2 linked regions of the Lonchura striata genome follow. The protein of the gene in region 1 purifies or fractionates together with the protein of each later gene. This does not show direct contact. Links are inferred from orthologs where the notes say so. Each region holds a gene or a part of one and is shown on either strand. Other genes may lie near its edges.

Region 1 (7,436 bases):
GCTGAGATTAAATCTCAAATCAATTCTTTCCCCAACCTCCCTTCTTTCATTAGAAACCAAAATGGGTGTAATACACTAATAAACAATTAACTCTACCCAAAATATTGTCCTTGAGCTGTATCAATTTGTTTCTTAAACACTAAGGCTTACAGCCTATTTTGATTCATGTATGAACTCAATAATTAAAAGGAAGAAAAAAAAAGAAAAAAAAAATCAGTTTGAATTTTTTAGCTCAGCCCTGAGTGCACAGAGCATTCCCTACCTCAGCTCTCACATTCTGCACCTCTGACCTCCTCAGACAGGTACACACACACTATACCCTGCAACTACAGCTACTCCCACACACTCACTTCCATTTTCACAAGGGAAGGCTTTATGTGTTCAGGCACTTGAACACTTCATGACCATGAGCAATCCTAAAACTGACATAGCAGGCATGACAGTGAGGCAATGTGAAGGACCATCTTGGGAAAGTTCAGTGTCCCACAACACCCATACCAATTGTGCAGGTCATATGCCTCATCTGTGGTACATCCCAACTCCAGGTGAGAAAGCACACTCCAAGAAAAAGTAGGCAATTAGTTAATTCTGAAATAGATCTTTCTGACAACAAACACCTGTGAGCTTTCACAACTCTGTCCCCTGGCAAAATCACACTGAGCCAGCATAAGAGATGGTCCTACAAAATAAAAGCTCCAACCAACTGGTCCCTTTGTAGTCATCTCAGTTTCTCCCATCTGCAGAAATATGGTAAGACTACTGACTTCTTTCTTCCTTTTTCAACAAAATTATGATTATAATGCTTCTTTATGGTGTAATACCAACAACACCTCAGTACTGAGTTTCCAAACCAGAAATAACTGCTGAGACTGAAAAGATCAGTATGACAAGAATGATTAGAGCTTTGGATCATGCATGTCATCTACCTCAAATCCAGTTTTCTACATCTAAACTCATATAATTCCCAGATTAAAAGGTTTATGTAAGATTTATAAAAAGCCTAAAATAATTCACACCAATCCAATGTTATGAAAATAAATAATGTAGCTTTTTTCCTAAAAAGAGTATATCCTTGAAATTCAGGCTATCAATTAGGATTCAGGAGATGCAGGTTCTATTCCTGGTTATTATTTATATCCCCTGCAGCAGCACATTCCAGATCTCCAACTTTACCTTGAGTAGTATGATTACTAAATTGATTTTCATCATCTGAAGTAGAACTGAGGGTTAATCCCAAGTCTTCTCTGCTCTTCTTCTGCTTATTTTGGGGGCTGCTAAATTCCGGTTCAGTCCTTCTCTTCATGGTTTCCTGTATGAGCTGTAAATAATACGAAAAGAAGAAGAAGATCACACTTGGCAAACATTAAGCATTACTTTCTGTAATGCACAGTAGCATGGTAGCACAGATCATGTTATGCTGTTCAGTATTAGTATCAGTATTATTCTCAACATAAATGTCTTTAGGTTAAACTCTTAGCTTCTTTTGAATTCGTTTTTGTAAACACCTAGTTTAACTAATCAAATGGGAAACTGATATAGAAATTTCCCTATAACTGATGAATTTCAAATCACTTCTGCAAACCTACTTATCCCCAAATGCAAGTAGATCAAGTTACCCAGATGTAGACTGTTAAATAACTTAAATATATGGCAGTTCATTACTACTACTGAATCGAAGATTCATTTTATCCAAACACACTGAAAAAATGTCAGGTCCATCTAATGGAGAATATTCAATGTGGAACCAATTCCTCACAAGACTTCAAACAACTCTGACCTCACCTCTGCAAATCTTAATAAAGGAGCTTTTCTGCATGGCTTTTAAAACAGAACTTTGTTAAATATGCGTGCTCAAGTTGTGCATGCAGTTGTGTTTTTCACCAGGAATCACTGGCAAAATATCCAGTTTCTGGATGTGGCTAATAAATTTGCACAAACTCAGAGAAAGGTCTAATGCTTAAGATGGAGTTAATAGAAGCCAGCTTGGAAGGCTTGCAGAAGACAAGAAGCAAGGAAAGGGAAAAAGGGAAAAATTTAAAGGCAAAAATGCTTAGCAGACCAGCTAAAACCTCCCTGCAACTGAAAAAAAAAAAAAAAAAAAAGAAACTGTACCTTGATTAGTGTTTCTTATACGACATAGAAATAGAATTGTTGGGCTATAAGATACCCCAGGTCACCAGTTCAAACCTTTAGTTATCAAACTTATTTCCACAAACACATACAAGGCAGCTTAAGGCTAAATCCTTTCTTTATCCCCACAACTCTGACTGCAAAATGATCCCACAACCTCACTGCACTATGGCTAAGAAATCTTCTCCCTTCCACCAGAAGTTATATTACAGACAACTAACCTTTACCTGCTCTTGCCTCAGTTGAGGGTTTTGGTTTTTTACTCTTTATCTCTAATAAACCATCCATTTTATATTTCTTCTGAGAGAGCCAAATGAGACCAACACTCTTAGCTCACTCTTACCAGCCCCCTATCAAGACGCCCCACCCTCCAAACTCCACTAAGGGTCCCTCAGCACACTTGACTTCCTGACAAATTTCAAACCATGCAAATTTAGGGGCAAGTTAGGGACACCCGGTCCCTCAGGAGTCCTGCAGCTGCGAGGAAAAGTTCCTCCACATCCCCACCCATGCCCTACAGCCCCCTTGTACCGCACCACCGGCTGCTCACAGAATCATTTTGGTTGGAAAAGACCTCTGAGGTCATCGAAACCAAACCATGAGTGAATACCACCCTGGGAACTAGACAAGGGCACTACGTGCCACATCCAGTCTTTCCTTGAACACCTCCAGAGATGGTGACTCCACCACTTCCCTGGGCTATCCACTCCAACGTCTCATCACCTCTTCTGCAGAGAAATTCCTCCTGATGTCCAGTCTAAATCTCCCCTGGCACAGCCTGAGGCTGTGTCCTCTTGTCCTGGTTGCCTGGCAGAAGGGGACAATCCCTCCTGGCTACACCCTCCTCTCGAGGGTTGTAGAGAGCCATAAGGTCTCCCCTGAGCCTAATCTTCTCCAGGCTAAACACCCCCAGGTCCCTCAGCCCGTATCCTCACAGTACTTACCCTGCAAACCCTTCCCCAGCTTCGCTGCCCTTCCCGGCCTCACGCCGTCACGCCGCCCGCCGCGCAGCCCCCGGTGGCAGAGGCCGAGCCGAGACCTGCCCGCAGGCGGAGGGCGGGCAGCGGGGAGACGGCCGGAGCCGCCGGCGGCCGCGCCCCGCGCTGACCCGCACACGGCCGGGGTCGGCGGACAGCGCCGTGCTGGAGCGGGCGGCACTCACGGCGAAAGCGGGGCAGGCGGCGGGCTCCGAAGGGCTCGGGCTCCGAAGGGCTCGGGCTCCGAAGGGCTTTCGTTTCCCCGCTCCGACGCGGCGCCGGCCCCGCCCCCGGCCCGCCCCTCGCGCGGGGCCTCGTTGGCCGCCGGCGCGCGGCAGTGACGCACCGCCCGCGGGCCCGCTCCCTTCGGCGGGTCCCGGGCAGCCCCGCCCGCGCGGAAAACGCTGCTTAATAATTTGTAAATACACGGATATACAAATGTTTATCGACCGTGTAGCGTAGCGGAAGGTAGGAGTGTTTTTAGGCTGGAGAAGAGGAGGCTCAGGGGTGACCTTATCGCTCTCTACAACCCCCAGAAGGAGTCGTAGCCAAGCGGGGATCGGCCTCTTTCCCCCAGCAAGCACTGCCAGGACGAGGGCACAACCTCAGGCTACGCAGGGGAGGTTCAGGTTGGACAGCTGGAGGAATTCCTCCCCAGAAAGGGCGATTCGACATTGGAATGTGCTACCCGGGGGGGTGGTGGAGTCACCATCCCCGGAGGTGTTAAGGAAAGCCTGGAAGTGGCACTCCCATTGTCTAGTTCCCATGGTGGCGTTCAGTCATGGGCCGGACTCGATGACCTCAGAGGTCTTTTCCAGCCTGATCCTGGGAGCCGTCTTGTACTTTGCATTAAGCTCGAACCCTGGGGAAATACAGCTCAGCACACAAGTCTGAATGCTTAGTCTCACAAAACCAAAGCAAACACGGTAGGTATCGAGAGAAGGAAGGATCCTGCTTGAGAAGTATAGCTCATGGTTATGTAGTTGCTGTTAACTGTATGTCTAATAGGTTGAGTTATGGCAGGACAGGAAGATGAGGAGGAGGAAGTAAAACATTGACTAGTCAGAGCATATCTTTGGAAAAGAAAACCTGCACTTCAACTTGGGGGAAGGGGGGCACAGCTGGATTATTGAATTGCCTGTTACACATTCTGCAGTTAAATTTGACAGTTGTTGCTAAAGCTCTGGAGCAGGATGCTTGCCTGGAATGGGAAAAACAACTCAAACAATGACTATGGGAAAAGCTATCTATGGTAAATGAAGAAGGGGTCATCATGCTGCTTTTGATACACAGTAATGCTGAAGCCAGTATGACTCATCAGTCCCGAAATTAAACATCCTGATAGTGAGATGAAGATGTGATAGGACAGACCTGGTAAAATACCCAGAACCAGTAAGTGATACTATGGATAATTTATCTAAAGTTGCTGAGCTGACACAGCTAGCCTGGAGACCTATGACTGACAGTAACTTTATACCGTCAAAGCCCAGTCCCTAATTTTAAGGGCATGGTCTTTTAATATACCCCTTTCTTGAAGTGTATGTGTGGAGATTTCTCCCTTGACTGGGGATGCTGCTCAAGGTTACTCCTCATGACTGAGCAAAAGAAATTAGTCCACAGTCATGGATGAATAACATTATCTCAACTTAATTGGGTTTTCTTCCCCAGTTTTAATACAATTGCTTTAAAACAACTGCTTCAGTATTTCATCATAGTGCACTGTAAGAGCTGTTCCACCTCCTATACTTTGTGGTAAATAATTCTGATAAAGATCTTTTGTCCAATCATTATCAAAATAAATCATACATATTTATATATCTGGTTTGGCATCCTTAAATCCTTCAGGACAAAGTTGTATAAAGGTTCATTTTCACCTATATAATCCTTTCGACACGAACCACTGACAGTCTGGGGCTAAGAATGGATCCAGCCACATCCAGGCTCCTCTGAGAAGGATTTTAGAAAGCAAGGGGGCCCTGTCTTCACCTCGTGACTCAATGGGAGGGCTTCTTTAATAATTAAACTTTGTCTGAAGCTCCCACTCTGCCTGTGACAGGCTCACCACACATGGTATATTTTTCTTGCACAAGATTGTCAGATTGGCCTTGGACTCCACAGATCCCTCAGTGGAGGTCCCTCAGTGGAGTAAACATCCCTCAGTGATGGTCTCCTTTTCATTGCACTCCTTCCCAGCTCTTCCACTGATGCTGACAATGTATTGCCCTGAAAGTGTCTGATTATCACACTACCTGACAGCTGTCTTCCAAGGGAAAACAGCAAGTCTTGAACCTGCCCAGCATCGTCTGTGACTAGCTCAGTTGTAACCTGACATCTGGAAGCACTTGATGCCATCCTAAAACAGGCAACAGTTCAGGGCATAACATCACCAAGGGCTCAACAAAGTAGAACCAAGTAGACAACAAGTAGAAAAAAGCATCCAGACCTTAGAGCAAAGGAGAGCACACTGCAGATATACAGGTCTGCTTTTGTCAGTGAAAAGCTTTTTTAAGTGGGCAATATTAATACTTAATCCCTCTCTGTGGACATTTACACACTGTGCACCTACCAGTAAAAGTGAAAACAATTTGGAATACACCACTTACATTCTTTGCATTCTAGTGAAGACACACTCAGAAACCAAACCAAAGATTGCCACACCAGGGGAAGTATTATCCTTCTCTGCAATATGCATAAACACCAACATAATAAAATAAATATGTATTTTGCAAAATGAAATGAGACAAAAAGCATAGTATGGAAGAGATACCGAGCCGAAGAATTCGCAGTCCTATGTAATCAGAGTATTTTCCTTCTATTCCTCTTCATTGGAAATGCCTGTTCCACATCAGCCTATTTCATTAGCATTTTGAGGAATGCTCTTCTCTTGCTCATTCTAGGAAGCATCTATTCACAAAAGAAACTCTCAAGAACACACACAGAAAGTGAACATTAAAAGAGAAAGAAGAATACAGAATATATAATGTCTCCACAAAAGAAACCTTACACTAAAGTTTTAAGCAAGCTGCCTGGCCCACTGATCAGGACCCGCCTGTTTAAATCCTATTGACCAAATATGTCAGAATACACTGGTTCCTTAGGACATCATTCATGCACCTTTTTATTGGGATCTTTCTCGGGGAAAGCAGGTAAGAGCTAGCTATTGTAGCTTTTAAATTAGCATTAGGGTAGTCACAGTCTTGAAGGATTGGGCTTTGATCAGCTCCTGAATACAAACATTGTTCAATTAACTTTACAGTAGTCACACTGCATACAGCAATCAAAACATGAAGTCATTAAATTAGATAGTCTGTTTTCTCAAAAAAGTCTAAAGACAACTAGAAGACATCTCAGTGGCTGCACCAAAAAAGACTAATGCAGAAATGGATTTACATTTTTGTTCTTAAACAAAGTAAAGATAGAAACAAAAAGGTATATACAAAGAGCCAAAGAAATATTACAGATGAAAAGGGCTTCCCCATCCTGTTCTCACAGTGTAAATGTCCTTTCCATGTAACAACTAAGTCAAAAGCATAAGCCACTAGAAAATGGAACTCAATAGACAAATACATGATAGGATAAGGCAAGACTTGATTGGTCTCTTATGAACGAGTGATTTGCCATGAGGGTAGCACAATCCATAATCTCAAGTTATGTCTTGTAAACAATAAAATGAAAGTGCTTAATTCTGTACCTTGTGGTTGTCTACAGATGCTGCTTTCCTACCCTGACAACAGGACATTTCAGTAATTTGGAGAGAAGCACACCTGAAGATACAGAGGTTCTTCTGCTGCTCATTATATGTTTTTAAAGTCATTGCTAAAAATTTGTGGATGTGCTGTTTCCCAGTTCTAAAACCCTTTATGTAAAAACCTGAAGAGGGAACAAACCAAAGACACTACATAAAAAGAACACTAGCTAAAGATTTCTGGAAGATTTAATCTCCTTTATCCCTATCTAATGGAAAATGGGCTACATAAACAGAGCAAGCTGATGGCCAGCAGCTAGTTTACAATGCACTTGGAGCCAACAGTGTCCATATCCCACCCTTTATCACCTTTAATGCCAAAGGCTGGGATGACTAGTTGCCACATGAAATTCAAGAGGAAAACCCACAATGGCACTTTTTCCCGATATACCTATCTCCTGCCTGCTGGTGGGGGTGGCCAAGTTCTCAAAAGGCTTGGGACATTCCCTCTGCTGCCTGAAATAAGAGATGCTGATGTAAACATGTAATTCATTAAGGAAAGGACAATGATGCAATACAAACTCATTCATTACATTGAGCAGCTCACAAGCTAATGTGAAACCTTAGCATTTGTAAGTCAATTA
Region 2 (7,704 bases), on another chromosome or scaffold:
GAGATCATTATACTCAACACAAATGGAACAAAAAATGTATACTAATATAGACATTTTCCCTTCTGCTGATGTGGAAAATTTGTAAAGAAAATTCATGAAAGAATCAAAAGAAGTGCCAACTGAAAAACTTGCATTGGTTTTTCTTCTAATATTCTAGTACAAGATTAAACAACATTCTTGAAATTGTGATCTTCTGTGGCTTTAAACAGTTCTTTGTGAAATAGCTACTACTTCCTAAAAACACCTTATATTTAGGGATCTTCTCACATGATTTCAGACTTGGCATAGAAAGCAGTTAGATTTTAAGGAATTTAAAAGATAAACTGCCTCCACATGCAACATATTAGCCTTTAGTTTCAGATGTTTCCGAATGCAGAAGGCATTAAACAATGACATTTTAACCATGAAGATCTGGAAGTTAGGAGAACAATGTGGGAATTCTGTGTAACTCATATAAATTAGACATATAATTTAATTTACTTGGGGGTGATGATTTGGTTTTACACTATTTCTTTGATTTCTATTCAAAGCACATAATGAATACCTACACTTGCAGGGTTTCTCTGAGGGGATTAAAAGTGATCATAAGGCCTTAACAGGTGTCTGAGGGGCTCAGAATAGCAGCTGATTGTCTACAATATGTTTCCTTATACAGAATGGGATTTGTTTTAAAAAGTGATTTTTTTTACTCTGGTTAATGTTCTAATAGATACAAAAGCTGCAGTCTCTCTCTTCCTCTCTATCTTTTTCTTCTTCTTTATAAAACTTTACTGAAGCTATTCAGACCTTTCTGACCTGCAGATGCAGTCACAGTAGTATGTTCTATATGGGATAATATTTAATAACCATTCACAAAATTTAGAAGTGTGCCTGTATGGCTGATAAAGTTTGCTGTTATGGCAATAGTGCTGTTGCCATGCTGTCTTCCTAAAGCATACTTCCCAGAGCAATTCAAAGTCCTGATTTATATATACTTGAAGTGTTGCAAAGTTTAGCCTCTGTAATTACAGAGATGCTGCCTCTTTTCTTCACTGCAGAAATTGAGATCAGTTCATGTATTCATCTTCATATTTTTAATTTGAATGATGTGGAAGTCTGACTTTTTAAACATGCTCTGATTGTGGGTTCTTGTCTCAAGGATTCTTTCCCTGATGATATGATAGAACATGAGGATAATATCCATTTATTCACATGGGCTTGGTGGGGGAGGATAGAATGAGAGCTTGTCACATTTGCATTTAAGACTCCTGGATAATTTTCCAAGGGTATTACCCATTTTTATATATATATATACATAAAATTTTTAAGCAGCTATTGCAATTATAGTAAGAATTTAATTTTAATATTTTAATTAATTTGCAGGAAATTTTTCATATAATGTTTTGTATACCTATTAAAAAATAGGAGTTAAATGCATTTTTAGAAAGGAAATTATTTTTTTAAAAAAGTGGCAGTACAAGTGTGTCCATGGCATTGGGAGCATATAAAGGCTGTAGCTTAGGGTCCTCTGCTAGCCATATCATAAAAGAAATACATACTACACAGGTTTTAGGGCTCTAACACACAACTTTTAGAAGATTTAACCTTTCTTAGCTGTCTGTCTTAACACACTGCTCAGTATTATGGCTTCCATTACAAAAGAGGTTTGTGGTTTCACTTCACCATCCCCTGTTATAGCTTAAGCCAGTGAAGGTGAGTTTTGACTAAGAAGCTAGACTGGATAGATCTCATGTGTTTTACAAACTCGGTAATCTCTAGAAAGGGGTGAAGCAATTAGCCTCAGGCAATAATAGCCTAAACTGTAACACTATGACACTAGACTTGTCAGAAACCTCACACCACCCAGGTGAGGGTCCCAGGGTCTCTGAATTACAGCTGGTTTGAGACCCACACTTATTCTTTAAGAGAGAAGGCAACGCACAATCAGGAAAAAAATAGACATGATGTTATTCCCCTAAGCTATTGTTTCAGTTTTAAGTGTTAATGGTCCTTTCAACCCCAATAGCATAAAAATACCTCCATGTCAAATGTAAAGAAATATTCACTGAAAGCTGGCTAAGAGGATTTTGATACCAGTGATTTTAAAAGTAGGGTAAGATGTAGCATTACAGTCCTTGGGTGGGCAAGGATAGGTTGGATTCAAATCTACACAGGGACCTTCAGGCAATGTCACTCAGCCCTAAATGCAGATGTATCATTGGCCAGAGAGCAGGATGGTGCTAAGACCTCAATGAATCACATGCGTAAAGTGGGGAAATTGGAGCTCCTATAAAGAAGCTGTGGGAATAAACTCGAGGCTGTTTGTCTCAAGGACCATTTGAGTGCATGTCTTCTTGGTCTCCAACATGCACTTCCCATCATGCTGCAATAAGAAACAGAGTGTAGAAGACTGGATAGTCAACTGCAAGCTCATACAAATGTGTTCTGTTTTAGTAACCCAAGAATTTTACTTTTATAGATGGATGTAAAAGACCTTGTGGGGGGAAATAAAAACCTCTTTCTTAACAAATGCCTTTGAAAAGGCAGAAAATATGCTTAAATGTGCCCTATTTTACATATCCCTTTCATCCTTTAGGCTTTTGACGTAATGCTTATCACTTTGCCATTATATCAATTTGTGCTTACCAGTCTTTTTTTCCTCTTGTCTCATCTTATATTTAGGCAATGATCCTGCAAACACTTACCTACATGCTTAATTTTGCTACTCCTTCCTTGTTAATCCCTTTGAAGTTAAAAAGGATTATTTGCATTAGCAAAATAAGGCATGTGTGTGCTTTCAGGAAGAAGTTCTTATGTTGTAAACCCTTTGGGGTGGGACCAGATGAGTTATTAGGCAGTCAGATAGCTCAAAGCACGGTTGTGTGGAGGATGAGTTCAGAAGTTTGTGAAGTTAACAACTGCTAACAGAGTGAACGGGTTTGTGGGACATGCCTAGGGCATAGCACACAAGTAGTTGCTCACCCCAACTAGCACACAATCTTCTTCCCCTCTTTTCTGCATTTATTGCTGAGCTGTAGCCTCAGATTTCATACCAGCCGAGACATCTGCTTTTTTCTTACCTCCTAAAGCAGAAAATTCCCTGATATTTGCCATAGGGTAATCTAGAGCAAGACCATAAATAGATTTATGCTGGTGTGCGCAGGAAGGAGAAATAAAGATCTGAAACAGAGCTGCAGAGTTCTCCATGCTCACATTGTTGTACCCTTGCAGCCTTCTCAGAACCTCCCAGCACTAGCTTCTCATCCCAGCTAATGCATGTAATGCTTTTATATTCTTCTCATTCTTCCCACTTTCCAGGGAGACCTAGCCATGATTTTTTCCCCTCTTAAATGTGTCCTATTCAAGTACTCTATTTCAATGTACACTTGCTTTTGTTTAAGATAGATATAATTTAAAACTCACTTGGAAAGATGTGTGGGAAGTCTTCCCTTAGCTGCATTCAGCCAATGCAGCTCTGTATAGAATACCATAGCATAACGAGTAAGCTTGATATTTGGGATAGAGAGAATTACCCTGTAGTGTTTATCCTCTAGAAACCACTGACATGGATATTATAGTATTTTTTGTTGTATAACTTTAAAAAATTACTCCCAGCTTCACAGGAAAAGTTCAAACTCCAGTTTCCAGGAATATTTATTTTGGTTTATAACTCTAAGCAGAAAAATCTTATTTTTATTACACTAACATCTAGAGCTCCAGTAGAGCTGTGTAGGCCATTTTGTTCTGTTATCTAAAACTAGGGAGAGAAATGATCTTCTATCAAAGAAAATAACCTATGGATTTGTCTACATTAAATGCTCTAATAAATATATTAAAGTAATTGCAACAAATCTTTGTAACTGGAATCTCTGGACGAAACCCCACTCGGCGAGCTGTCTGCACTTGTGGAACAGGTCACTGCTGCTAGGTGATGTTTCCTGACTACGTTCATGTTTGTTAGCTGCGTATGTGAACGCACCCTGGCTCCAACAGTCGGGCAGCAGGAGCGAGTGCTCATTCAAGGGGCTCAGCAGAGGTTGTAACCTCGAGCAGGGCTGTGAAGAGGGACAGGGAGCAAGCACTGGTGAGGCTGCACCTCAAGTACTGTGTGAGGTGCTGGAGTATGATCAGAGAAGGGCAGAAAGCTTGTGAAAGGTCTAGAAACCATGTCTGATGAGGATGGGCTCAGGGAGCTGGGGCTGTTCTGCCTGGAGGCGGCTCAGCGGGAACCTCATGGCTCCCTACAGGAGCCAGGTGGGATCTGTCTCTTCTGCTATGCCTGCAGCGAGACGGCCAAAGGAAATCGACTGAAGCTGAGACAAGGAAGATTCGAATTAGATGTTTAAAAAAATCTTTCCGTGTTAGTGTGCTCAGGAACTGGAATAAGCTGCCCAGGAGGGTGGTGGAACTACCATCCCCAGAGGTGTTCAAGAGGTGCTCGGCTCTGGCGCTGAGCGATGTGACACAGTGGTTACAGTGGCAGTGCTGGGTTGGGCGGCTGCGCTGGAGGATCTGAAGGGCCATTTCCAGCCCGGGTGCCGCTGTGGCTCAGGGATCCCCTGACGGGCGCTGTCCCGGCCCGCCCTCAGCCGCGGGGCGGGGCCGTCGGGCTCGCGCCCAGGAGAGGCTTTGGCCAACGGGCCCGCGCGCCAGCGCCTCGCGCGGTCCCGGCGCTTCCTTCCGGCCGCCATTTTGTCGGCCGTGCCTCGCCGTGCCGCCGCTCGGGGAGGGAGCGCAGAGCACCCGCCCGCCGCACCCGGACCGACCGCCCGCCAGCCACACCGACCGCCATCGCCATGTCCAAGCGCCACCGCCTCGATCTGGGCGACGATTACAGCTCCAGCAAGAAACGCACCACCGACGGGTGAGGGGTGGCGCGGGCGGCGCGGCCTGCGGCGGGGCGGGTGGGGGGGATCGCGGCGGCTCCCGCGCCATCCGCGCCCCATCCCCGGCTCCGGCCGCCCCTCCGGGGCTGCAGCTCCCCGGGACGCGGGGCGGCCGCCTTGCGAGGCAGGGAGAGGCCGCAGCGACGGCGCCTCGGCCGAGCAGGCCCCGAAGTCTGGCGGCTCCCCGAGCGCGGGGCCTGGCTCGGAACGGCCGCCCCGCCGGGCGGGCCCTTCGGGGGGCGGATGGCGGCGGCGGCGGCGACAGCGGCGGCGGGGCCTCGCGCGGCGGCGCCGGCAGGGGGAGGGGAGGGAGGGGAGGGAGGCGCCGGCCCGGCCGCCGGGGCAGGGGGCTGGGCTGGGCGCCCGCTGCGGGGCCCGCGCCCCCGCGCACGCTTTGTTTGCAGCTCTTCGCCTTCGTACTTATATTCGCCTTTTCCACTCCTTGTCCTCCTTCCTTTGTGTTTGTTTACTTATTCTCTGGCTTGAAAGGTCTGGCGAGCGTGGGCCTAGAGGTGAGCACGAGGGTTGTGCAGCCCGTGTTATTAGTGCCTACTCTGGTGGGAGCCTTGTTCCTTTGTTAACGTCTTTTCACCCAGTCACCCTCGGTGATGTGCTTGCCCTGAAGTAAGAATCGATGGTGAGGTGGGTTTTGAGTTAGGGGGCAAGGAATTGTTTATTTTTCTCTTAGTTTTGCGGGGTTGAAGTTTTAGGGCTGTACTCGAGCATATTTTTGTTGAGGTTAATGTAATTGCAGGAACACAGACAATGCACTGGTGCTGTTCTTAAATTCAGCGTTGATTTAGAGCTTTCTTTACACATTATCTTTTCCTCTCTAGTTGGGCAGGAGGGGGAGGAAGGGCAGTCAGCTCTTGAAAGTAAATTTCTGAAGTTTTAAGGAGTACAAAAAAATGCAGTGTTTATCTAGTCTGGCCTTCTTTATGGAGCACAGCAAGCTTCCGTGAATTAAACACTTGTTTAAGTCCATCAGCGTTGTTTTGGACTAGTTATGTAAGAAAAAAAAATTTCAGTTTTCACAGGTTAAATAAGTCGAATGTAGCAGTTAATAGTCACTGACAAACAGTCTTTGCAAAACTTGCCTTTTTTAAGGTAAGCTTGTACAGCTTCAGTTTTTAGCCCCTAGAGTTTGATTCATTTTTCTCAGCTAAACAAAATAAGTCTTTGTTATTCTACTTTTACTTTCTGTCTGTAGGATCATCATAATCACGTTTTATAAAATATATTGAGCTATTTGTGTTAGTTAATGCATTTTTGTAGGATTTCCCAGAGTTTGAAATAGTTCCTCTGAGTGTACAGAAATGTACATGTACAGTTTTTCTGTGGTACAACTGTTACAGCTGGCTGTAGCGATAATCATGGGTCAATATTTCCTTGTTTGTATGTTGGTGGATTTTGTAGTTTTGGTGTGGCCTTGTTTGTCATTGTTTTTACTTATCATGAATGCTATTCTGTGCTCTTGGTGCTACCATTTTGTATGTACTGCAGTGAGTTCCCACCAGTGTTAAACTAGAAGACATTGACCTTTATGGCACCTAAAAACTGTAGAAATGTTGGTCTTGTGCCCCTTCTTTGTCCTGCCCTCTGCAGGTAAAAGCATGAAATGGTATAGGACTGAGAAAAACTCACTATAAGCATAATTACTGAACATGCCATGATTATTTCTTAGATGACTTGCAATCTTAATTCACGTAGGATGAGTCATACTAATGTTACATGGCTGGTTTATTTTAGAGTAGTTCGGTTTTGCAGCTTATGCAAGGCCGTAAGGAGGATGTGTGGAGCCTTGTTAAAAGCCTGTGTGTACCTGTCTTCCTCTGTGCCGAGGTTGCCTTTCCGCAGTGTAGGTGGTTCTGGAGCTGGATTAAGCTGGATGAGCTCCTTGCGTGATTACCACTTCGCATTCAGAACAATAGTGTCTTGCATCCTAACTGGACTACCTGACAAATATGAAAGTTACTTCAAGTGAACCTGTATTTTTTAGTTCCTCTTTAATGGAGGCCTATGTTAGTATGGGTTGCTGCACATTGGCAGCAGTGCCACATGGGCTCTGCTTGGCCGACATGTTTGTAACTGGTGCAACCTTAAACATCTGCATGACATCTGTTTTCTTCCAGAATTGAAGTATTGTCTGTGAAGTAAAAAACATTTTGAAAAATAAAAGTTGTATGGAAGACTTGGTTACAGCATTTCTGTGAATTACATACATACTATTTTAAAATATGCTAATTTATTTTTAAATATATTTGAGTTGTGTAACATCAGAGTGATCTAATGGGATGTATCATTCAGACTAATTGTATTTGGTTGATTTCTGTATAGAACAGAAATTCCTTTAGCTTATTGCCTTTTTTGCATCAAATATTGCTGTTTAATAATGGGGAGGAATTATGATTTCTTAGACTGGTTTAAGCCTTCACTGTGATGATCAGTGGTTTACCTTGAGTCCTTTGTTTCCCTTTTTATTTTTATATGATTTCTAATCAAAAAAAGCATGCTTATTTAGTGGTTGCTATAGTGCTTATTTTGTGTTCATATATGTTATATGTGTGTGAATGTAAGGAAGTGAAAGCAAATAGCAGACCAGACTTTTTCACTTAAAAGCAGAGCAAAAAATCCCAGCCCCCTTCTGATCATGAAGGCTGTTACGCGTTTCAGGTGCAAGACAAATGTGATTAAATCATTACTTTAGTGTAATTTTTTGTGTTTGAGTTCTGTTTTCTCTGAGCAATAATGAAAAAGCAGCTAAAATGTAATAGTTTATAAGTAAAGAACTGTCAAGCCATATTGTTAGAAAGTTAAGGAAATTAATATGGCGGCATAA

What was found. Proteins that work in one complex are often made in the same cells at the same time.
Region 2: the proteins of CMTR1 (region 1) and DHX15 purify together in Homo sapiens (co-immunoprecipitation; 3 studies listed by BioGRID and IntAct, with this or other methods). This does not show direct contact. The link is inferred for Lonchura striata from reciprocal best matches to the Homo sapiens genes CMTR1 and DHX15.

Annotation. Positions count from the first base shown.
Region 1 is NC_134605.1:29,906,695-29,914,130, forward strand, and holds the start of CMTR1 (cap-specific mRNA (nucleoside-2'-O-)-methyltransferase 1), read right to left. Parts: upstream 3,215-7,436; 5' UTR 3,075-3,214; intron 1,336-3,074; exon of another isoform or gene 1,319-1,335; 5' UTR 1,304-1,318; coding exon 1,174-1,303; intron 1-1,173. UniProt on the Homo sapiens protein: S-adenosyl-L-methionine-dependent methyltransferase that mediates mRNA cap1 2'-O-ribose methylation to the 5'-cap structure of mRNAs.
Region 2 is NC_134606.1:18,206,861-18,214,564, reverse strand, and holds the start of DHX15 (ATP-dependent RNA helicase DHX15), read left to right. Parts: upstream 1-4,610; 5' UTR 4,611-4,775; coding exon 4,776-4,843; intron 4,844-7,704.